3 linked regions of the Oryza sativa Japonica Group genome follow. Each later gene encodes a partner of the first gene's protein in a complex. Links are inferred from orthologs where the notes say so. Each region holds a gene or a part of one and is shown in the gene's direction. Other genes may lie near its edges.

Evidence for each region.
Region 2: probable U6 snRNA-associated Sm-like protein LSm4 (region 1) and sm-like protein LSM5 share a complex: the UniProt entries of both Arabidopsis thaliana proteins name them as parts of the heptameric LSM1-LSM7 complex. The link is inferred for Oryza sativa Japonica Group from reciprocal best matches to the Arabidopsis thaliana genes emb1644 and SAD1.
Region 3: probable U6 snRNA-associated Sm-like protein LSm4 (region 1) and sm-like protein LSM8 share a complex: the UniProt entries of both Arabidopsis thaliana proteins name them as parts of the heptameric LSM2-LSM8 complex. The link is inferred for Oryza sativa Japonica Group from reciprocal best matches to the Arabidopsis thaliana genes emb1644 and LSM8.

Annotation. Positions count from the first base shown.
Region 1 is NC_089035.1:8,580,490-8,588,638, reverse strand, and holds probable U6 snRNA-associated Sm-like protein LSm4, read left to right. Parts: upstream 1-2,222; 5' UTR 2,223-2,473; coding exon 2,474-2,476; intron 2,477-2,568; coding exon 2,569-2,610; intron 2,611-2,707; coding exon 2,708-2,806; intron 2,807-3,076; coding exon 3,077-3,154; intron 3,155-4,698; coding exon 4,699-4,741; intron 4,742-5,364; coding exon 5,365-5,520; intron 5,521-5,616; coding exon 5,617-5,639; 3' UTR 5,640-5,937; downstream 5,938-8,149. Other genes in the region: zinc finger CCCH domain-containing protein 4, read left to right, coding at 7,241-7,376. UniProt on the Arabidopsis thaliana protein: Component of LSM protein complexes, which are involved in RNA processing. Component of the cytoplasmic LSM1-LSM7 complex which is involved in mRNA degradation by promoting decapping and leading to accurate 5'-3' mRNA decay.
Region 2 is NC_089039.1:18,936,634-18,944,805, reverse strand, and holds sm-like protein LSM5, read left to right. Parts: upstream 1-2,579; 5' UTR 2,580-2,725; coding exon 2,726-2,762; intron 2,763-2,893; coding exon 2,894-3,017; intron 3,018-4,484; coding exon 4,485-4,557; intron 4,558-4,658; coding exon 4,659-4,694; 3' UTR 4,695-4,972; downstream 4,973-8,172. Other genes in the region: probable folate-biopterin transporter 7, read right to left, coding at 15-288. UniProt on the Arabidopsis thaliana protein: Component of LSM protein complexes, which are involved in RNA processing. Component of the cytoplasmic LSM1-LSM7 complex which is involved in mRNA degradation by promoting decapping and leading to accurate 5'-3' mRNA decay.
Region 3 is NC_089039.1:29,806,447-29,814,551, forward strand, and holds sm-like protein LSM8, read left to right. Parts: upstream 1-3,191; 5' UTR 3,192-3,324; coding exon 3,325-3,364; intron 3,365-3,469; coding exon 3,470-3,510; intron 3,511-3,603; coding exon 3,604-3,678; intron 3,679-4,652; coding exon 4,653-4,705; intron 4,706-4,842; coding exon 4,843-4,933; 3' UTR 4,934-5,193; downstream 5,194-8,105. Other genes in the region: 26S proteasome regulatory subunit RPN13, read right to left, coding at 297-366, 443-509, 603-677, 771-809, 997-1,056, 1,193-1,285, 2,069-2,092; pathogenesis-related protein 1, read right to left, coding at 5,274-5,870. UniProt on the Arabidopsis thaliana protein: Component of the nuclear LSM2-LSM8 complex which is involved splicing nuclear mRNAs. LSM2-LSM8 binds directly to the U6 small nuclear RNAs (snRNAs).

The DNA of each region.
Region 1 (8,149 bases):
TGTTTGAGAGGATCAATTCAAGGTGGGTTAATGGAAGTGGTCTTTAGCTACCTATAACAACACATGTTATGTGCAATTAGTAAAATAGTCATTTGGTAATGCCACCAAACTGTGGTTGGGCTGTCATTTTTCATCTTTGTGTGTAGTCAATGTACCTAGGAACTTTATGCACCAAGGAAAGGGGACATGATTAGTTCCCCTTTTTAAGAGAGGATAGGGAAAGTCTTTGAAGCTAGGACCACACACTGTACAAAATGGTCCCTTGAAAAATATGAATATGTTTTCTTTTAGAGTCCTAACTGGAGTACTGTTGTTTTGATTTTGTAATTAAGTCATATCAAATGTTACACGGTTTGCAGTTTACTACTTAACTTGGTGTCATTACTTTCTTTTCATGTGTTCTCACTTCTCATAGTTTAGTGAGTGGATTACACAGTAAAAGTTACAACCGCCATGCACCATATTTCATTATTTGCACAATCAATGGCTAGCTATATGAATTTTGGCTAGTTCAATTACTTGATTGTCCCAACGAGTGCAATGCTAAGATTGTGCTGTGCCTCTGTTTGAGTTGGTTCACACGTATGCGCCATCAAGATTGTGCTACCTTTTGAGTTGGCTCACACCTGATACTGCATTCTGAATCAAAGGGAATTTTTGAATGGGCTTTGGTGGTCAGAATGCAGTGTCAACAACCCATGACATGTAGTATAAAGTAGTGTGATATCACCTAGACATTTATTTGCTGATGTTGAAGGGGGAGGAGACGAGACACAAATTTTTGACTCCTGTCTTTATGTGATGATCAACAAAATCTTATAACAAACGTCAAATATTTATGATCAAGAGAACCAACTTTTATAATTTTGATAAACCGAAATGATATATTTTGAACTATCTCTTTGTTTCAAAATATAAGAACCACCAACATTTGTAGTTTGCACTAAAATATAAACACTCCTAGCACTATAAAGTATAAAGTACTACTTATTTTAATTGTTTCCCATTAAAATTTCTTTCCATCTCTTCCTTAACCACTTTCTTGCCCCTAACCATATCTTATTTAAGCCGCATTCGTTTATTCAACTCTAAAATGCAACTTTATCTTTTTTAACATGTTTTTCAAACTGTTAAATGTTTTCTTTTACAAAAACTTATTATATAGAAGTTATTTAAAAAAATCAAATAAGTTTAAGTTTAAATTTTACGGTAATTAATACTCAATTAATTATATGATATTGGCTTACCTGTTTTGAGTGCCACCAAAAAGCTAAACTAAGTTGAAGATTCAAACTAGGCCTTGATATTGGACATCGAAATCTTTTCTCTTTAACCTTAATCTCCATGGTTTCCAACTCGTAAAATCAAGTCGAGGTACCCTGGACCGATTGGTCAACTAGTCCATCACTAGCTGATGACTTGCCCATGCAAAAACAGGGATGCAACATATAGTCTTTACTAATATTATACTATACTAAGCATTGTATAAAGTATAAATTATGATCTATAGTAGCAAGACAATAAATCAACAAGAAATAAAACTAAAGTATTAAACACAACAAGCTAATTAGCATGGCGAATTAATAATTCGCAACCGACTTTACGATGAACCACGACTTGCTGTTTGGACGAGACGTGGTTCTCTAGTCGATTAGCTTGACCAACTTTACAACTAATCTATCACTAAAATCGTGACTAGTCGTATGACTTGATAACAATTATAATCTCTATGTACAAATAAAATTATATTTTGGAAATGTAGTACTAGTATTTTTTACAATTTCCTTAAAAAATTATTTTGAGGGACTTTAGTTTTTCTCCTCTAGGAAATAGACCATATATGCCTAATTTTGAAAAGGATAAAGGAGTCGTATACCGGGTATCAGAATTACTAAAATACTGTCGCAAGTTTTTTTGGAAAAAAAATATCTATAGTATAATTATAGTGTAACTACAATATTGTTACACTATAAGAAACTATATCGTAATCTCTGTATAAAGTACATTGTAAAATGTAACTGCACTAACTACATTATAACCACCATATAAGTTAGACAAAAAATTATATATATTATTTCAATACTTATATATAAGTTATATTATAGTTAGAGTAAAATTATATTACAATTACAAGATTTGAAAGTTTATCCTTTAAAATTACGGCAGTTTTCTTTATAGTCTCTACTCGTATATATAGGCGGTTTATAACAACTTGAACTTTTATTTGGGACACGTGTACATAACTCTTTCGGTCCGGGACCCTCTCTTGTTTTTCTTCGTTGCTCGCGAGCTCTTCCCCCCTCGCCTCGCCTCCCCACCCAACAAGCCCGCGGCGGCGACTAGGGTTTTGACCCCCCGGAATCCCCCCTCCTCTCGCCGCCTCCGCCTCCGCCGCCGCCGCCTTCCTCCCCGCGCCGGCGACGATCTGCTCCTCCTCCCCCGCCGGCATCGCTGTTTCCGGATCTAGCGCAAGATGGTTCGTCTCTCTCTCTATTTCTCAATCTGTACCCTCTCGATCCCCAAATTAATGCGGCCGTGTCTGATTCTGTGTTTGTGTTGTGGTTGCAGCTTCCGCTCTCGCTCCTCAAGACCGCCCAGGGGCATCCCATGGTAAGAGAAGATCCGCCGCTTCGCGCTGTGCGTGGTGGTTGTTTGGTTTGGTTTCTGATCGGCTAGGGTTTGAAACTTTTGTGTGGTTTTTTTTTAGCTCGTGGAGCTTAAGAACGGCGAGACGTACAACGGGCACTTGGTGAACTGCGACACGTGGATGAACATCCACCTCCGGGAGGTTATTTGCACCTCAAAGGTGAAATCTCGCATCCCCGACCCACTTCGCTTGTAGATTTTAGTGGGGACAAAAGATTAGTGGCATTGTTTGGATTTGGGGAAAATAGGGAGTAGCCATTTGTTAAAGTAGTCTTCATATTTTTTTTGGAATTTGACGTGGAGATAGACAGATAGTAGGAACTTATAGTTCGAATTGTGTGTTCTCTTTTGGGTCATTTGGTTCCAATTGGTTTGATCGTTTAGTTTGTGATGAATGCTGTTTCCTCATTGTTTATGGTTGTCATTGCAGGATGGTGATAAGTTTTGGAGGATGCCAGAATGTTACATCCGTGGGAACACCATCAAGTATCTTCGGGTTCCTGATGAGGTATGGATTTTTAACATGTTAAACCTTGTTTACTATGTGCTTGTGGTTTGCTGGTTGTATGTTTAGACATGTATGTTCTCCATCTGCATAATCAGCCTTTTTTTTTCCCTGTTAGCATTCATCACCATAATTGCTAGCAAAATCACTATGTCGTGTGCAATTTTTTTGTGGTCAGCTTTCAGTTTCAAGTTTTGTTTTCCCTTTTAGATCTTTATGGGTGCCAGTGTGTCTCTTGTTTTGTCTGAGTAATCTCTCACGTTAGATATATGTAAGTTATTTGATGCCATTTAAGATATCTGCCTTATGGTGTTTTTAAGTGATTTGAGCAGATGAGGACCTCTCTTAAGCTAAGCAGAGCATTTTAATATGATTACGTGCAAATCACTCTGCATTTTATCTGTTAACTATCCACGAGGGGCTGATAAATTTTCTTGATTTCAAATCACTGATATATGACACCAAACAATTCTCCTGCTATGAATAGTGACAAAACTTATGTTCCAACTCTGCTGTACGCAAAGCTACTTTCCCACAGCCAAGGAACATTGAAAATAGTTCAGAACTTCAGATAATGGAGAAGTAAATATCACATAACCGTGACCTGGATAGTAGGCCTAAGTATATATGTCTCCTAGGTCACATCATATAGATGTAGCTGACTTTACATCATATGGATATAAATGTTATTAGTACTTTTAACCCATAAATCTATAAGCAAAGCACAAATGGGAATGTATTGAGCCAGGATATGCCCACACTTGTTATCAATTCTGAATTTAACCAGCCTTTCAATCCCTATTCTGGAAGTACAATCGAAAATTGATATGGTAGAGGTAGAATACTTTTTACCCGATCTTCTGGAGTTAGACAGCCTTTTATCCTTATTCTTAATCTTAAGCTGCATATTTTACCACTGAGATTAAGATTAAGAAACAGACATAAATAGGACTATTGTACCACTGAGATTTAGATTGCATTTTCCTCATGTGCTGGTTTGAGTAATCAAACAATCCTACGATGAGTTGGTCAATTGTGGGACCATCCCACAATTTAGTTGGTTTCCTTATTTTTCTACAAAACTTGATACTTTTGAGGGATGAGATGGAGTGGACCAACCCATTAACATTCCCAACCAAATAGTTAAGTTCAGAGTTAGGATCGTATGGTTCATTCACCAACTAATTCCTGAAATAGAACAGGGCCATCAGTTCATCTCTTGTTAGATATCTCTTGTGTTCATTTTGTTGTATTACTCTTTATTTTTATTTTTAGAGGTCAAATAGCTAATTGGATGTTCTTGATACTACCTCCATCCCAAAGTATGAGTTTTAGGGTTGGGCACGGGTATTAAGAAAGTTGGTGGAATCAAATGGGGAAAGGTTGTGATTGATTGATTTCGATTGATTATTTTTGTCTTTTCATGACATTCCAGCATATGTTATGTACTTCTGTTTTACCTTCATGATGATGATGATGATACACCAGCGTTGTCATTGTTACCTGTGCTTTCCAATCCTAAATGCATGAATTTATTTCTATGACAGGTGATTGACAAGGTCCAGGAAGAGACTTCAAAGAGCAGATCAGGTATGTACCCAATGGTTCCAGCTGTTATAAATCACATTTGTCTCTGTAATTATTTAGATGTTTTAATATTTTCTGTGAACTTGATGAAATATTTAAATCATAATTTTGTGCTATTAGTTGCCTTTGCTTGAACCTTATTCCAGTTCATTATTGGAGAAAAAATTGACCTTATTCAGTTTCCAAGAGATGTATTTTGTCATAACCCATAATTTTTATTAGTAAGAAGTACATTATATGCGGCAGTGCTATCAGTTGAATGTATGTGGCAGTGCAAATGCGTTTATGCGTGCAAGTAGTAATGCGACTGCAGTTCTTTTCTTGGGCTGGTTCTTAATTTTCAACAAACATAACGTAACTTATACTTCAAAAATTAGCGATGAATTGCATGTTTACGCTTTACAGTGTAAATAGTATCAAATCAATCTGTAAATGCACATTGATACAGGCAGTATCCTACATCTATAGTGTTGTTGATGTCATTCATGAAACCCTCGTGTTCCTCTTTTCTTATATTTGGTGTATTATGGTTATTCTGATTTTCTGATTACTAGAGAATTTCACCTTTTTGAACATCTTTTGAAGTTAAGTTCAACGCTGAATTGCCTATGCTCTTCTAAATGCAGATAGGAGGCCACCAGGTGTAGGCCGCGGAAGAGGAAGAGGTGATATAGGTACTAAGCCTGGAGGCAGAGGCATTGGGCGTGGCCAGGATGATGGTGGCAGCAAAGGCGGTGGTGGCCGTGGAAGGGGAGGAATTGGAGGTAAAGGTGGCATCAAAGGTATGCTTCTTGCTTGAATTTAGACTCTACTATACCGCCAAAGTAGTTTGTATTTTGTTTTGAGGGGATAACCAATCTGCTTGTACTCTATGGCAGGTGGGGGCCGCGGACGTGGGTGAGAGGGAAGGTCACTTGTGGGAATGCCGCTTTTTTAAGGCTTTGTGTCACATAGATTGCTTTAGGAGGGTGAAGAATGGACTGGTGGAGTAAGCATTGCTTTGCTTTATCATTTTGTGGTATGACCGAAAAATGTTTCATGGGTTCAGTAGTTACCAGTGAAGAGGCAGCGGTTGGCCTGTCTCGAAACAATTTGTTTGATGTCTGGACCCTCGACTATATTGAATATTATTGTGGTTATTACTTTGACCTGTTCATCGCAGAGAGCCAGGTAATGTTCTTGATTGTTCAGCAATAGTATATCTATATTGTGCTGCTTGGAGTGCTCTTTTACCTAGGCGCATATGCCGACCACGAGCATTCTCTCTGCTTCAATATTCTCTCTGCTTCAATATTCTCTCTGCTTCAATGTTCTCACTATTGAGTGATACTCCTTCAGTACCATACAAAACCAACCTACACAATCTAGGACTACTAATCTAGACATTACCTCTATCCAGATTAGTTGTACTAGAATGTCTAACATGTTTTAGATTTGTTTTTTTTTTGGAGGGAGGAATTAAGTCTCAGACAGTCGCACCATTTTACCATAAAATGGTGGTGTGTTTGCGCAGACGTTTTTCATATAATTGGTTTCACAGCAGCGCGTCATTTTAATTCGATCCGCACAAATTATGTCGTGTGATGGTCACACCTTGCTTGCTGTAGACCACTCTCGCAACTGCTGCCCTGATAAACGGAACGGCCAGCCCGAATGCATTTACATATAACTAATTATAAGTAAGAATTATTTTAATTTTTTTAAAAATAGATTGTAAGAATTATTTTATTTTTTAAAAAATAGATTAATATATTTTTAAGTAACTTTTGTATAGATTTTTTTTTAAAAAAATGCAACGCTTAGCAACGAGGCACTTTTTCTCTCAATATTCTCCCCTAAAACTCAGCCTAAGCAGACGTTCCGGTAATTTCTCTCCATTTTCTTCACGAATCAAACAGCTTCGAAAAAATTGCGTCGAGAAGGAAAAAAAAAGAGATACTAATAACCACCATTAACGAAAGAGATGAATACTCCGTATATTCTTTTATTTAGGAGTAACAGATTACATGAGGATTATGCGTCTGCATAGGTGGAAGCGTGGATCAACCAATGCACCTACTACGTATACACTGTACACAGGTGGGCCCTCCAGTCAACTCGACTTGACCATCTGGCCCCACCTGTCAGCCTCTCACGAGACCGTCAACCGAGTCACTCGTGGTTGACCGGCTGGCGCTGGGCTCTCCCCCCATTGGCAAGACGGTTTTGTCGCCAGCTGCGAACGCGAGAAAGGAGGACCCCCCGGTGGGGAGCGCGTGGATCCGTGGACCCGGTGTTGGTGCACCCTCCCACTGGGCCCCACCACCCATTCACACTCCAGTGGGCCCGGGTCCATGCACCGGGTCTACGCCCCAGTAGTAGCAGCCACCTCACCTCCCCTTCAAAAAAGGCAAGCAACGGAAGAGGGCGCGAGGCGAGGAGGAGGAGGAGGAGGGCAAAAGCTTGCAGGAGAAGGCATCCGCATCCGCATCTGCCGCCGTCGGTGGGGGCGGAGACCGGAGCATGGCGGAGGCGGAGGAGAAGCGGGTGGGGGTGGGGGAGGCGCGGGCGCCGCTCGCCGTGGAGGCGCTCCGGGGGAAGATCGTGGAGAAGGTGAAGGGGAACCGCGTCACTCTCATCGTGGGGGACACCGGATGCGGTAACCGCACTGATTGCTCTCTCCCTCCCCCTGTGTGTGTGTGTTCTAGTTTCGACTCCATCCGCTCGCGCCGAATGTGCGATTGGCTCCCATGGTCGGTGGGGGTTTGGGGGGAGGTTTTCGCGTTTGGTTATGGGTGCGCATTTTTTGACGGATTTTTTTTTCATCTGTGAAAAGTTGGTGCTTGGTTCGTTCATCTATGTTTTTCTCCTACCTCGTTGGGTTTTCCGGCCTATGGTAGGATGGCATGGTATTGGGGGGGGGGGGTGGTTTCAGTTTTGGATTGGAATTTCTGCCGTGCCGCGGAAATGCGGGATACTGAAAAAGGAGGGGTTTTTTTAGTGGGTTTCAGGCTTGAGTGCTGGAGGTTTTAGCGAGTTTTCAACCTTGGATAGTGTTTTTGCATCTTTATTGCAAGGGTTTTGGTAAAAGTGATGTTCTTCAAATTTGATAAGATAATGAATGATCTACGAGAGATGTTTCCTTTCACTTTGTTTATGTTTCTTCTTCTGACAATAGTGTGGATTTATCTTCTAAAAATCCTGCTTTAGGGAGTCTAACTTTACTATAACTAGATTTGCATCCCAGAGGTTTCTGATCTGAGTGTTGCATTGTTACGAACTCAGTGCCACAACTAGCCCCTTTTTTTTTGCATTTTTTTCTACAAATTTAGGTCACATTGCATTTATTCTCTGTTTTTTTTCTGTTGCACGTTCAGCTTGTTGAACCAATGATGGGTAACATTGCCATGTTTTTTAAATCATTATCTGGGA
Region 2 (8,172 bases), on another chromosome or scaffold:
GAGCATATACATACCGCCGATGGCGACGTAGGGGAGGCGGCGGTGGCCGCGGATGGGGACGGCGTCGGAGAGGAGGCCGAGAAGCGGCTTGGCGACCATGGGGAGGTTGGCGGACGCCTGGAGGATCTGCAGCGAGGAGGCGGCGACGCCCATGCCGTCCTTGAGGAAGAAGTTGACGCCCAGCCATGGGAACAGCCGGAACCCCTGCACCCAGAACCCCACCGCGATCACCCACCGCCGCGTCGCCTCCACCCTCCTCTCCCCCTCCATCTTCCTCTCCTTCTCCATCACTCCTCACTCACTCACCCACCCACACCACCTCCGCCGCCGCCGCCGCCGCCGCCGCCGCCGCCCAAATCTTCTGATCCGCCGCCTCTTCCTCCCCCTCTCCCGCTCCCCGATCCAAGAAGAGAGTGGGGCGCCGAGCCGGTGATCCGTTCTTGATCAGGGAGGGGGACACGTAGGAAGGGGGACGAGAGGGCGCGGGGGTGTGAAGTGTTAACTGGCCGGATTGTTTTAGTGGGCACAGCGCGACGCGAAGGCGATGGAACGAGGCGGGGGCACACGCGGCGACAGCTCGGCGTGCGGGTAGGCGCGTGGTGGAGATGGGAGGAGAAGAGGAGCTCGTCGGCGCGGGCTGGCCTAAGCCATGGGCGGATGTGACTGGGCTTTTTGGTCAGGTGCGGTGTCGTGCTGGTGCTGGCCACATCACCACATCGGTGGTCGGCCATCTGGGCTGGGTTTTCAGTGGGCCCACCGCTTTGTCCAATAATTCAATTGGGCCAAGGCTGTCAGAGAGGCCGACTAATAAATTCTGTTCGAAATTGAGCCTAATTTATATCTTTTGAATTTAGGCCCAACTTATATTTCTTTGGAATGAATAAGCCCAACTAATCAATAATATTATTTTCGTGGAATAAGTCCACTTTGTCTCCCCTAAAAGTGACCTAAATCTAATCCATGATCATAAATCGCAAAACCGGATATCTCGGCCCCCGAACTATTAAAACCGGTGTAATTTGACTCCCTTTGTGGTTTTGAGGGCGGTTTCGCTGACGTGGTGCTTAGGTGGCATTTGAATTAAAAACGTATATGTGGGACCCGTTTGTCATTCACACACATAAAAAAATTGTGGGGCCACCCACATGTCCTGCTCTCTCTTTCTTCTTCCTCCCCTCTTCCTCCCTTCTCTCTTTCTTTCTCTTTCTCTTCTCCCCCCTTCGGTCGGCCACGGGGAGCACGGGCTGGAGTGGCAGTGGCGGGGGCTAGAGTGGTGGTGGCCGGCGAGAGCTGAAGCGACGGTAGCGGCGGAACTGTAGCAGCTTGCTCTGGCTGACAACCAATTGACCGACAGGATTCCGCCGAAGATGGTAGAGATAGGGAGGAACCCTGCTCCGACTTTCGAGAAGAACCGGAGGGATGTTAGCGTGCTCGCACGCCTCCCCCGCGCACCCCGCCGCTGAAGGGGGTAGCTTCCACGCCACACACTCCAGCGCCCTCCCCCTAGCCCTCCCGCCTGTCACCGCCGCCGCCGCTTCGGCTCCCACCCACTGTCGCCGTCCCTGCCCGTCGATTGCTCCACGAGAGAGAAGGTGAAGAGAAAAGGGGGAGACATCAGCTAAGATACCGATTCCACAAAATCCCCCTTGGCCGTGACCCGTTCAAGGATTCATAGCTTCTCTTACGCGTCGTCTTGCTGTCAGTCCAGCGCCGGTGAAGGGTACATGACTTACAGTCATGGCGGTGGCGGCGCTCGGCTTTGTCACCCTCCTCGCCTTCTGTTTTTTGGGTTAGTTACTCTGAATCTCTGATTAAGATCGTCTTTGTTGACAACACATACTATATCTCAGTGCTATAACTCGCTTTGATCCTTTACATTGATGGAACAGCGCCGGCGGCGTTGATGTTGGGGTACTACCACGACTCGCCGGAGCTAGTCGTCGTCGGCTCAGGTTGCTCGAGGCTCGTGGAGACGAACTCGTTCATTGTGCAGGACATCAAGGTGATCATCCTCCCGTAGCTCGGTTCTGCACGAGCTCAGTCGAAGAGTGTTTTAATGTGTGCACTCGCTCTTGCAGGCGAGGACGGATGGAGGGTCGCCGGAGAATGGGTTGGTGCTCTACGGGATGCCGGTCGCTCCGCCTCTCGGCATCCCAGCCGCTTGGTCGGAGGCTCGCCGCGCCGTCGTACCAGCCGATTCCCACATGTCATTTTTTTTGTTTGAATCACATATGGGTTCCACAAATAATTTTTTTTAATTCTAAGCCACGTAAGCGCCACGTGGGACGAAGACTATGTCAACATTGCCACGTCAGCGCCACATCAGCAAAATCGCCTTCCAAAACCACGAAGGGAATCAAATTGCACTGGTTTTAATAGTTCGGAGAGTCACCCTATCTGATTTTACGGTTGAGGGTTATGGATTAGATTCGAGTCACTTATAAGGAAGTTAAAGTTGACCTATTCCTATGGTGCTTGAAACCTAGCAAAAGAAAAAAAAAGTGTGATATCTAATCGACGGCTGATTGCTCGATCGGACGGTGGAGAATACGTCTCGTGGGTGGAGTCGGCTAGGGCGCAGCGTTCGCAGTTGGAATCCTCCACCCAAAGCAGAAGCCTCCGCCGCCGCAGCGCCGCTACTCTTGCATCGCCTCCGCCGTAGCCGCGCGCGCCCTTCCCGTCGCCGCTTCCACCTCGATCTCCGCCGGAGAGGGCGTCCGCCGCCATGTCTCAGAACAACCCCTCCCAGCTCCTCCCCTCAGGTGCGCGGAAGAAGCTTCGCTTTAGTTTCTTATAAATCTCGCATCCTAGCTTGCTAACTTTGTTCCAGATAGATTTTGTTTTTTGGGGTTCGAGTTCTTGATTCAGTTCTTGCGGGCTTTGGTTTGTGCAGAGCTGATTGACCGCTGCATCGGGTCCAAGATTTGGGTGATTATGAAGGGTGACAAGGAGCTCGTCGGCACTCTCTGTGGGTTCGATGTGTACGTCAACATGGTGCTCGAGGACGTTACTGAGTAGTATGTGAAAAATCTTCCAATTCTCAACCCTATTTATTTTTCTACTTTCCGCGCCAGGTTTTTTTCTTGTAGGGTAATTTTGGTGTCACAGTCGTAGGGTAATTTCGGTTTCTTCTGATTAGATTCTTAGATTAGTTTAGCTCAGTTTCTCACATTTGTGTCTCAGTGTGCTGATATTGGAATTAGCTAAAATATTTAGAAAACATTGTTTGATTTTCTGAGAACTGAAGTACAGAAATATTGCCCACCTTATGCCAGATTGCTCCTACCTTGTTGCTTTGTTGGTTACTTTCCTCCATGTCATCAGGCAGATTTCGTATAACATGAGTTTGTATTATACTACCAATCATCATAGTTGGTATAGTGCAAGCTATTTTTGATCCTTTCAGTACTCATGTCATGATTGTTAACCCATTGTGTGCTTCAATTTAACTCACACAGACTTGGTTTCATGAAGTTACATAATTATAACATTTGCTGCTCTTATCAGTAATTCAGTATACTTAATATAACTGAAGATTTTATTTGTTGTTTAGTACTTAAGGTGTAACGCAATCACTAGTCTGTCTGTTCTAAGATCAACTGATATGAACGCTTGATTCCAAAGAAGCTGCAGCAGTGGAACACACTGTTTTGTAGGATTTCTGCTGCAGTAACATGTTCATCGTTGTAGTTAGTATTGTCTTGTTTGGGAATATTATTTCTCGCGGAAGGGAAGACAAGCTCTTTTCATCATGATTTATATGGTTATTTATTTGTGGTATAGGACAGAATGATAGTTGATAGCTAGGAGGGAATTGGTCATGTAAAAATGACTAAAGATATTTAGCAGATGGTGGCAGTAGGTTTCCATGAGTGTTATACTGATGCATCATGTATTTTGTGCTAGCTCTTCACAATTGTTGCATTAAGTTTATACTAGTCCTCCCAGGTGTTGATGTATTACTTTGTTTTCCCCGATATTACAATGTTCTATTATACCTGAATTAGTTCTAGAAATATTCATATTCAGTATCTTAGTAGTTTGTAGAATGCACATGTGGATGTTGTAACTATGTTCTTAAAAAGAGAGGTATTTCCTAACAACAAAAAATATCACAAACATATACTGCAACATAATGATGGTTGTTGAGCCATCTTGCAGAAGGGGCTGAAGTGAGCGTGTTTTAGAGTTTGTGTCATCTGATTATATACCATGACTGAAATCTATATGATCTGTTGATGTGCAATGTTTCACTAGTCCCCTAATAAAATGCTGGACCTAATGGTGGAATTTATTCCTATTAGCTGAATATGAAGTTACCACCATCACCCTTGCCAAACTAATGTATCATCTAGGAAATCACTTAGCAAAACCATACTGATGTTTATTAGTTTTTTTCACTTGCACATTTAGCATATGTATATGTTCAATATGAAATTATAGTCTAATGTTTGTTGTTTCATGATCCTCTGATTGTTTTATAGTGAATACACTGCTGAAGGCCGTCGCATAACAAAGCTTGATCAGATACTCCTAAACGGCAACAATATAGCTATTGTGAGAAATCTTGATCAAATACTTGTAATGAATGGTTTGGTAAAAGTTCGGTGTGACCTGCTATGTCTAACGCTATTTCATCTTTTGTTTGGCCTATACAGTTGGTTCCTGGTGGTTCTCCCCCAGATGTGGCATAAGCAAGCACTTCCGTGATATACCTGCTTGAGGCTGATGGAGGCACAGACCGGTGTTTCCTTACTTCAAATGTATTTCTTCCATTTGTGGCTGTACTGAACTTTCTTAGTTAACTGACCTGAAGTAGTGTACCTGCAACAGTTGCTCCTACATGATTTGGCAATGCTAAGTATGAGGTACCTCTTGTAGCTGTTTATTACCATTCTTCTGCAACCTGACTCAGTAAACACTAGGTGGTTGAAGAAACCTGATAATGGAGAGCATATCTACAATTGTTGTATTTGTGGTTCAGCAGTGTTGGACTTGATAATCTTTTTGCTGCATGCTTCCCTACATGTCTCTTTCCTCCTAGGAGCTATGTTAAATCTGGGATTAACGCCTTCTCTATGAGATAATGTGCCACTAGGAAAAAAAATACTGTATTTAATCTGAGGCGATCATGATATACAGTCACTGTACCCTAAAGCTCTGCCATCCGTTCATTCTCTGCATCTTGCAAACGACCGTAGCTTATCTTACACCCATGGCAGCCGCTCTTAGCTCCCTCAAGTAATGGACGGTAGTACGGTACAAAATTTCTTGGTAATGGACGGCACCAAATATATTTTCGCGACTTTGGGGGTGGGGGTGGGTGGGTGAGGAGCATATCGCTGTGATTTGGCAGTAATAGAAACTTAAACATCATGACTTCGGGGGTGGGGGCGGGTGGGTGGCAGTAAAAGAAACTTAAACATCATGAGTGACTTTTTTTTTTTGGCAGTAAAAGGAACTTAAACTGAATGACTTGGGGTGCCATCGTACGAGTCTACGGTTTTTTGTATACAATTGGACTTCAGGAATGGTTTGTGTGATTATGTTAGTTAGGGTGCCCATACAATCAGCTCTATTTTGCTGCTTCACACATCGTGTGATTTTTGTATACAATTGGACTTCAGGAATGGTTTGTGTGATTATGTTAGTTAGAGTGCGCATACGATCAGCTCTATTTTGCTGCTTCACACACCGTCACTCGATGTCACACCGACGCCGCTACACCGCTGTTGCTTGACACACCTAATTATTAGTTATATGACGGCACCGCCATTGCTTGACACTCCCAATTATTAGTTATATGACACGCTATTGCTTGACACTTCCGTGTGATTATGTTAGTTAGGGTGCGCATACGATCAACTCTATTTTCATGGGCAGAGCTACCATGATTCCTGGGTATTCCCGGGAATACCCAACTTATTTTTTTTTATCAAAAAGCAAGTATACTTCTAGTATATACACATGTACACATATTAGTGCACCTAAATCCTCAATTCTTCGATCCATACACAGCCCAACCGGCCTCTTGCAACGCCTCCTACCAACCCGACCCACTCCGTCATGACCCATTTATCATACATCAGTTGACCCATTTAGCCACCACTCTTCTAGACGGCCCCCTCTCACTCTCCCTCCGTGACCCATCCCTCCCTGGCTCGGCTCCTTCGCGCCGCTCCCCATACCTAGGCGGCGGCGCGGCGAGGAGGTAACCGGCAGCGGGAGCTGGACCGTGCTACCGTGGAGGGCGGCGGCCGGCGCCCGCCACTCCGCCAAGCTCAGGCGGTCAGGCCGGTTGGGTGGCCGGCGGCCGCGAGGGGCAGGGGCGGCCAGTGGCTCAGCGCTTAGACGGGAATACCCAACTTTGAAATCCTGGATCCGCCACTGTCTATTTTGCTACTTCACACACCGTCACAAAATGTCACACCAACGCCACTACACCGCCATTGCTTGAAACTCCTAATTATTAGTTATATGACGGCATCGCCATTGCTTGACACTCCCAATTATTAATTATATGACACCCCATTGCTTGACACTCTCAATTATTAGTTATATGATGGCGGCCAATAAAAGAAAGTGAACATTCATTCCACGAATTATTACTTTATATTGCGGCGGCCAATAAAAGAAAGTGAACCTTCACTCCACGGCTGTCGACGAAAAATCTGCACTTGGCTACCCCGCCATTGCTTGACACTCCTAATTATTAGTTATATGATGGCACCGCCATTGTTTGACACTCCCAATTATTAATTATATGACACCCTATTGCTTGACACTCTCAATTATTAGTTATATGATGGCAGCCAATAAAAGAAAGTGAACATTCACTCCACGAATTATTACTTTATATGGTGGCGGCCAATAAAAGAAAGTGAAGCTTCACTCCACGGCTATCGACGAAAAATCCGCACTCGGCCAGTGGTGCCGGATCTGTGTTGGCGCAAACTAAGTTGATGAACACAACGGCCTGGGATATCTGCTTAGCTCCAGTGCAGGTCCAAAGGTTGGTGAGATGCGGACGTGCCAGTCAGTTTGATCCTGCAACTGACAAGATATACAAATAGCAGATCAATGAGCTTATCGACTGACGAGCCGATGGAGTAGTTCCAGTTGATGCCGGTACCAACCGATAGCAATAGGGTTTGAAGCTATCAGCTATATATCCAATGTAGATTCTGATACTTGAGACAATCTAATCCAGTATAAACCAATCGGCTAACAATGATATGATAGAATAAGCACTGATCTGAAGGTTAAAGAATACATCGGCTGGAGATCCGATGTTATAAAATCCACAAGATTAGATTAAACAGTAAAATCTTTGTTGCGATCGGCTAAATCGAACTTATATGCAATCCTTGTAAACCGATGCAACATCCAGATAACTCATCGGCTGAAACCCCGATGAAACCCTTATTGGCAGTCAACAAGCAGGCTAGAGATTATGGTTCTAAGCACGACTTAGTAGATCAAACTTAACTGAAGCAACACTAAGTATGAAAAGAAACACAATATCGAGACAATCAAGCCTTTGACTGATTTTCAGGATGGTAGATGCCTTAGCTAATCTAATCTAGTAATACAATTTAGCCGATACCGGCAGAAACCCTAAAGCGAGAGACAACCGATAGAGCTAAATTGGGATACTAAGGTGGTGTTTGAATTTCCTGAAGATAAAGATGAAGATGAAGATAAAGATTAAGTGTTTCACGTAAAACGATGTGGTAATAACGTGTGATTAATTGAGTTTTAATTATTATAAACTTGAAAAATGGATTAGTCTGATATTTTAGAGCAACTTTCATATATAAAGTTTTCGCACGAAACACGTCGTTTAGCAGTTTGAAAAGCGTGCAACGAGTATCCAAAATTTAATCCTGTGCATGCAGAAGAAACGAACAGGGCTTTAAGACTAGATTAACTGAAACATATGATAAATAGGCAGGCAAATATATTAATCAAATCAGAGCAATCCAAGAAGTCCAATGTACTGATGCTGAACGGCGCCAATGTAACCAACACAATTGCCTGGGCCGGTGGAATATTGGACTTACCCCTTCTGCTCTGATAAAAAGTAAAAAAGGTAAAAGGTAGCGATGCGCCGAATTGTATTTGATCATGGAGATAGTTTACAATGACTCTGGGTACATATATTTATACCCA
Region 3 (8,105 bases), on another chromosome or scaffold:
TCAACACGCATGCATGAATGCCATATCAGGAACAAATTGAGGCCACACTTTCATATATATTTAGCAGGAAAAATATCAGTGTGAAAATAGGAAGAATGAAAGGCAGTGCACAATAAACTCAGCTAGACATAGATAGTGTTAACTTATGCATGAAATTGGAGTGAATATACTTGTGGTTTATAATGAACGTGCATCCATCTGTTACTCTGACGGCCCCATTGAAAAATAAAGATTGCAATGCAAACGTCTAGGTTTTTCTGTGCTGCACATTGCATCTTGCAGTTCGTTAAAATTACCTGGAGGAGATGTCATCATCAGCTGTGTCTTCATGTGACATTTCAGCTTCAATAGAAACTGCCTCACCATCTGCACGCCCATACAACTTAAGACACAAGAAAAATGAGCGCATAATTAAGAGTTGAGATCCCAACGTTCAGCATACCTAATGGTCGGTTTATGTAGGCATTAACTTGGCGACATATTTGTGAGTCGTCATCAGCACTTGGCTCCTGCACAGTAAAGAGCAAAACACAAGTAAATTTTAGCTGGTGGAAGGACTTCTGTGGTTTTCAAACAGATACACACACACACACTCAACTGACCTGCATCCAGAAGAAGAATTTCCTGCTATCGTGCCTGAACTTCAAGATGTAAACCCTTCCAGAAGATTGTGTTACCTGATTAAGTTGAATTACAATCATCAATGAAGCCCAAGAGGTTCACTAAGATGGTCTTGCAGAAGAAAATAAACTTGAACCTATATTCAATACCTTCTCAAAGACAGCCTCCTCAGGGAAGACAATTTGATCCTGTGAAAAGGGAATCAAGGATATACAAAAGTACGATAATTTCCTAGGATATACACAATGGAAATCAGGAGAAACAGACACAGCCAAGTTCAAAGTTCAAACATACGAGTCATACAAGTACAGTATTTGCAGATTAAAAAATGAGTGCACGATGACTACTAACTACTATCTATGCTCGAGAGGATACAACTTCAACTAGATTCTGTCCACGATCAAGCCATTGAAAATGAACCAAGCCTTCTTCACCCTACAAACAAGTGGATATGTTAACTGCACTGCAAATCCCCATAAAATATGAGAATGCAAATGGCTTATAAGTTATACTGGACAAATAGAAGTACAGAACTTCAATTCAAGATAAGTATGACTTTTAGCATGCATACCCTTCCTATGCGAACAAGACCCTTGCGTGTGTCTGGGATCACTCGTGTTCCATCAAGGGACATCTTACCCGCACGAAACTCGCACATGATATCCTGACAAACACATGAGAGATTGTTTTTAAATAGAAGCTCAACACCTTGTTATATCATAGCAGAGATAAATGAGATGGCAAAAATAAATATATAGGTCATTAAGATTCTGAATAAGCACAAGATCTTAATTTGAGATAGATCAATAAGCACCATGCACTGCAACAGAAAATTAACTCAGTTCACTGAACTACTGAAAGCTCACTATACACAACCTACATTTCTTATCAGAAGATTTTCTTGCTACAAATTGCTAGCTAAATATTTTGGCCTTTTAGAGTGCAGGCAAAGATTAACAGAAGTTCTATCCCAGTTTTCTGAAAAGAACTAAAACATAAAGAAACAAACTGCCTAGTATACAAAAGAGACATCTATGTTTTTTTTTCTTTTTTTGTATCATGTACGATGAAAAACTGGTCCAAACATGGTTCAGGCCTTTGTACATATTACACACAAAACAGCCCATTAACATGGTACTACCAATGCCATTTTCTGTCAGGCTTTCTTTAACCAGCTGGCTCACTTGTCATACACTCAATTACTTGGCAAGATTTGCGAATAGTTGAGAATTTGTCCACCACAAAAGACAACCTCAATTATCCTTTTGGCAAAGTGTTGATACCAACCAAACAGCCCATAATGTCATTTTAGATGGAACTTGCAGCAGCTAAATCATGATCTCAAATCAACAGCAACCGATCATCGCAGTTAAACACTAACAGGAAATTCGGTATTTGAAAAAACCAATACTTGCAGAAACACTAGAAGGCAAAGTGAGGAGTTTACCTGTAGGGGCTCTGTGCTCTCCATTGATTAAAGAGTGGCTACCACAAGGTGCAGGCCCTAAAACAGGCAGTAAAAAGGACAGTAAAGTATTGGACATAGAACAAAATCAAGCAAGTGTGAAGTATAATAGGTTATCAGTAACTAGTTGTCAGAAGTGTACTGCATGCCAATTGAGATGAACAAAAGGTACTGTAGTCTGAAAGTAGTAGCTGCCTTTAGAACTTTGTGCATATGAGAATGAAAACATTATGCGCATGTGTTGGTAAAATACAGAAAAATGCACTTGTGAAGGATTAAAGAAGACTAGATCTATAAATTTATGTACACTAGAGTCTTTGTTGTGCAGTATTTGCATCTTCAAGTAGCACGTAGGCAACTGACAAATTAGTATTTACATAAAGAAATTCCTGCGTCTGCGTGCTTGTAGATTTGTAATTTGTAAGGTGGTTTCTTTGGGCTTTATAAGATATTATTACTGCATTACTTTTGTGCTGCTGTAGTGTTATTTCATAGTGGAGAACCAACGTGACCCAAAAAACGGCGAAGACTAGCCAAAAACCCTAGCAGCTAGCAAGTCGCATTAACATAAAACTCGTCAATGATTAGCTTGTTTGCAGGGGCTAGTTCCTTACAGGATGGTGCAGTGTTTTATGTTTGTTTATTTTTTTTTCTTACATGTAGATGTAAGCAAGGAGAGCAAAATAGGTGGGTGATCTATAAGATTTTGCTGGTAAGGACCCAAGAAAAACATGAGCAATAAAATCGATTGGAGCAGCCGTCCTAGAAAGAGAGATTTGGATTGGAGAGAGGAACAGGTAGGGCAAGGGAGAAGAAAATATCTTAGAAACAATGGAGCAAGAGTTGGTCACCACTCAGTCACTCACCAACAAGTGGGGGATTACGGAGGAGGGCTGGACGTCGTCGTCGTCGTCGGCGGCGGCGGCGGGACGGGAGGAGAGGGATTCTCCGACGCGATGTGATGTGATTTGGGGAGGCGATGACGACGGGAGGGGGAGCAGAGAAGGATCTCTCATGGTGGGCTGGGCTTCTCTTAGCTGGGCTGGAGAGGCCCGCCCACGCATTTGATGGCCCATATAAAAGCCCGCTCGGCAACTCCAAAGACGAAGTTGAGCTAGGGTTTTCAATCTCTTTCTTCTCTCCAAAACACAAATCGTCGCCGCATCCCCTCAACTCCGGCGATCCCCTTGGCGGCGGCGGCGGCTTCCCCAATCACCCCACTCCACCTGAACTACAGGATGGCGTCCGCCGGCCCGGGGCTCGAATCGCTCGTCGACCGTGAGTTCATCCCTCTTTTTTTTTTATCTCATCTCACCCAGCTACCCAAGATTCTCCTCCTCCTACTATTACTAGTGATAGATGATGTTTTTTTTTTCTCTCCAGAGATCATATCCGTCATCACAAACGATGGCCGCAACATTGTGGTGAGCCCCTTGTTTGATCTACTCGTACACCTTTTTTGTTTTTTTTGGCTCTCGCTAATACTCACTCGAATTGCCCTGCCTCCGCTTCGTCAGGGGACACTCAGAGGATTCGATCAAGCCACCAACATCATCCTCGATGAGTCCCATGAGAGGGTCTATTCTACCAGGGTAGGGTTGCTCCCAACTCTTTCTACGCTTCTTTCATGCTATCTTGCAAACCTTCAATTAATTTTACAGCAATATCAATATTTCACTAAGCTAGTACTATATGCCCTGATAATCCGGCAACACACACTTTACTTCCATCTTCATAAAGTTATGTTTACAAGGCGGTCATACTTACAGTTAGTTACTCTGCTAAATTTTTCTGCGTTTAGAATCTCTACCACAGTCTGTTTGGCATTTTCCATAGAGTTGCCTGTTTGCTAAGGCTACAAGTTCAGCCACACAATTTTTTTTTGTTATTCCAGTATGTCCTTGTTAATTGTGACCTTCTCCCTGGTTTGCTGTCAAATGCTCTCATTGGTTCACTAGTGCAGAATTCTGCAATCAGCAATAAGTTTCTCTCATGGTGCTTGAAAGTTAGTTGCCAACATGTATTACACAGTACCCTTTATGGCTAAACACAGATTGTTTTCAAAGATGGCTCTCTTTCATGATGGTTATAAATGTCATCATGAAGTAATGAGTTCATATTGTTGACTGTTCGTATCTATCATCATGTCTACTGTCAGTATGAACTGAAGTTCGTTTCCTGCAAAATAATGAGTTTATACTGTAACATGTTTTAGCTGAATTTGTCATAACAGCACCTTTTTCTTCAAGGATTGGTTCGATTAATTCTACCTTGTGCACGTTCAATTTTTCAGAAGTCATATTATTTTTTGTCTTCAATAGTTAGGTATTGGAATGTCTTTGTTCTTTATGGTGCAGAGTTGTTGTTCTAACAATTTGCAGGCAATGTTGACTATGAATAGTTATATGTCTCGTATCATGCACCTCTCTATTGAATATGGGATATGCCTTCTTAAGGACTAGGGGCCAATGCCTTTAAATTGTCATGCTTTTAGTTTGTGGCATGTGCTGTTAGTAGTACAGTTGAAATTTTGAGTAGTGATGAGAGAAATGTGTTGTACCTGCAGGAGGGAGTGCAACAGCTTGTTCTTGGGTTGTACATCATAAGGGGCGACAACATGTAAGCTATTTCCTCAATTGTCGTTTGAGCTGTTTATTGCTTATTAATTACCTGCATGGAGGTCGTTTATGGATGTGTTATTTTGTTTGGTGGTGTGCCTAACTGAAGTTGAATCCGTGGGTGATGCATATTTACAGCAGCGTGGTGGGGGAGGTGGATGAAGAACTGGATGCGAGGCTGGATCTATCGAATCTGAGAGCGCACCCGCTGAAGCCCGTGATCCACTAATGGAAACGAATGAATGATGTACTACTACTAGTAGTAAGCTAAACCTAAATGTAGTGTTGTCCCAGAAGTTGTGAAGAAGTGGGTGCTAGTGTTGCCGATGAGTGAACTTCTTTAACGTACGCGAGGAAGTCCAGCAAGCGGATGAGCGAGCATGAAGAAGAATGTTATGGTTTTATGTGGTGGTGGATGGGTGATGCATGTTTGTTGAACACGAACACAGACACAGTGACTCAGTGAGTGAAGATTTGGTTTCCATTGTATTGTATTGTTTGTGCAGCTGTATCAATGTACATGAATGAGGAAGGCAGGCAGGTCAGTTGTTGAAGAGAAGAAGAGCATATTAGGAGTAGGTGGGAGGGGTAGCCGGCTGGTGCTGCTCGTCTTTGAAGTAGTTGCAGGTGATGAAGACGCCGCCGTTGAAGCACTCGGCGCGGGCGCAGCCGATCCTGGTGAAGTTGGGCCTGACCATGAAGGCGAAGTGGCCGCACTCGTGGAAGTCGACGCCGGCGGTGCATTTGCCGGTGTCCCTGTCGTAGAGGTGCTCCTCGTCGCCCCAGCATCGGACGGCGTCGGAAGCCCTGGCGTTCCAGCCGTTCCTCCCGATGTAGAGGCTCTCGGCGAAGCTGTTGCCGGTGGAGTGGCGGATCTGGCAGTCGCCGCGCATGGCGTCGGACCACCGCCGCGCCTGCCTCGCCAGCTTGTTATCCCACCTCATCGGCTGCAGCCCGTAGCGCGCGCGCAGCTGGTTGTGGCCGTCCACGAACTCCCGCGGCATCCCCTTGTACCAACCCATCCCATTGGTCCACGACACCAACCACCCCGCTGGTGCCGATGCTGATGCGTCGTCGTTGAACCAACACATCGCGTCGCCCACAGACAGCAGCAGAAACCAACACAATAGCAATAGTAATGGGAGGATCATCGCGGCGGCGGCCATTGTCTGCCGTCGTCCCGACGAGGACGAGGCCGCCCGCCGATCCGATCCAATCCAATAGTGCTAATGGGCTTCTTATATCCTAGCTCATCTTTTGCCATTTGCTTTTCTTGGATTTGCCTCTCGCTCTTCCAACCATAAACAACGAACTAATAATGCCAATGCCAAGTTTAGGCAGTTTTTCTTTTCTTCTCTGCATCGATCATATCATCATATCGCACGGCCACTCTGTCCAAACAACAAAGCCTAACCTCCCCGGGCACTGGCAGGGCAGCTGGCTGGGCTCTGGCTCTACCAGCTTGCTGCCTGCCTGCCGTGTCTCGTCTGCTTCTACAACTACGGAGCACCTGTTTGCAACGGCCAACGGACGGAAGGAATGTTTTTTTTTTTTGTTTGGCTTGGATTCCATCCATCCTCTCCGGCCTGTTCGTGTGTACGCCTTGTGCTAGGCTAGGCTCCACACACCTGGACATTCTACTCTCGATCGTTCGCGGTCGCGGGGCCCTCTTCTGTTCTGTTGCGTTAATTGCGGCCGCTTTGCTTTCAATTACTTAATATCTGTTTTAATTTCTTCGCCACTTGACATGGTTATGAGTATGACAGATTAATATATGCTATCTTTTTTGTAAGAAAAACCGTTAATATATGCTAGCTACGACTGCATATATATGACAGATTATATACGTAGTATATACTTGTGGTTCGCAATAACGACCAGCTAGCTTAGCTAGCGGATCAATCATACGACGTTACGTTACATTATACTAGTACGTGATGATCAAAGAATCATGCATGTCAAGCTCATATGTGCTTTGTATCTACTACCTTACACTTGCTCTGCTTCTTTAACCGGAAAAGCTGTATGGCTGCTGAATGATTTTTGCTCGGAAAACTAACTATGCCTTACGCTTTCCCTTGCTCTGCTTCTTTAATTGGGTCGGAGTGTGTGTACGTATATATGCCGATATATATGATCGATATGATGCATCCAGCCGCGCGCTGTAGACCAAACTAGCTCGATCGGATTCACCCTCCGATCGGGCGATTGATCATGCACCAACAGCTAATTATAAGGAAACAAAACAGAGATAATTAGTTATATACTACTCCCTCCTTCCCAAAATGTTTAACGTTGACTTTTTTTAAATATGTTTGACTGTTCGTATTATTAAAAACTTTTATGAAATGTGTAAAACTATTTGTATACATAAAAGTATATTTAACAATAAATCAAATAATATAAAAAGAATTAATAATTACTTAAATTTTTTAATAAGACAAACAGTCAAATATTTTTAAAAAATAGTTAACGGCGCCAAATATTTTGGGACAGAGAGTAGTATTTAGTTACTCCTACCTATACGTTGTTGTTGATTTCGAGAGGCGCCGACCAGCCGCTGATCGATCGAGCTACGTAGCTATCTAGGAATTAATATACGACGAAAGACAAGTTACCCCATACTGTATATGATTATATATGAAATCAAATCAATCAATTAACTAATTAATTAAATGAAGATGATGTGTATATAAAGACCTACGTGTCCGGATGTATATATAAGTATTCCAGTAAGCAACATGCATGCATATCATCCATATAATGAAATCATGAATGAAGATGTGTGCCCCTGGCACCGTCCATACGTAATACTCGTACAATTAACATAGGGTAGTAGCAGTACATGCAGTAGCTTATCTTGTTTATTATCTGGACACACGATCGAGTCATATATATATGTGCATCCGAATGCGTGTGGATAACAGCTACCTCCAAATCCCAATCACAGTCACAATCAGAATCGCATGTCTTTGATCGAGTAGGATCGATCACAACGAATGGATATGTACGCATGCATCACCTCCATCCCCTGTCTCTCCCGCTCTCTTTGACCATTGCATATATATATATATCTTCTTCTTTTCTTACATACATATATAAATAAAAGAATAAAGATTATATATATATATATATATAGTAAATTTGTTTGGTGCTCCATGGTGTCCGGGCACCATTGTTGAAATTGAGTATATACCCAATTCAAATGAGTATGAAACTTTTTCAATTACTTAGGTATTAACATTAACTACTTTACTAACTAGTTCAAAGCATGTTTGTACTGAATTTGAACTTGTTTTTGTTAGATTTTGATTCTAGGTATATAGCATCCATACATATAATTAGTTAGGTATGTAATCATGGATTGTGAAATAAAGTTAAATTTGAGTTGTTTTGTTGAT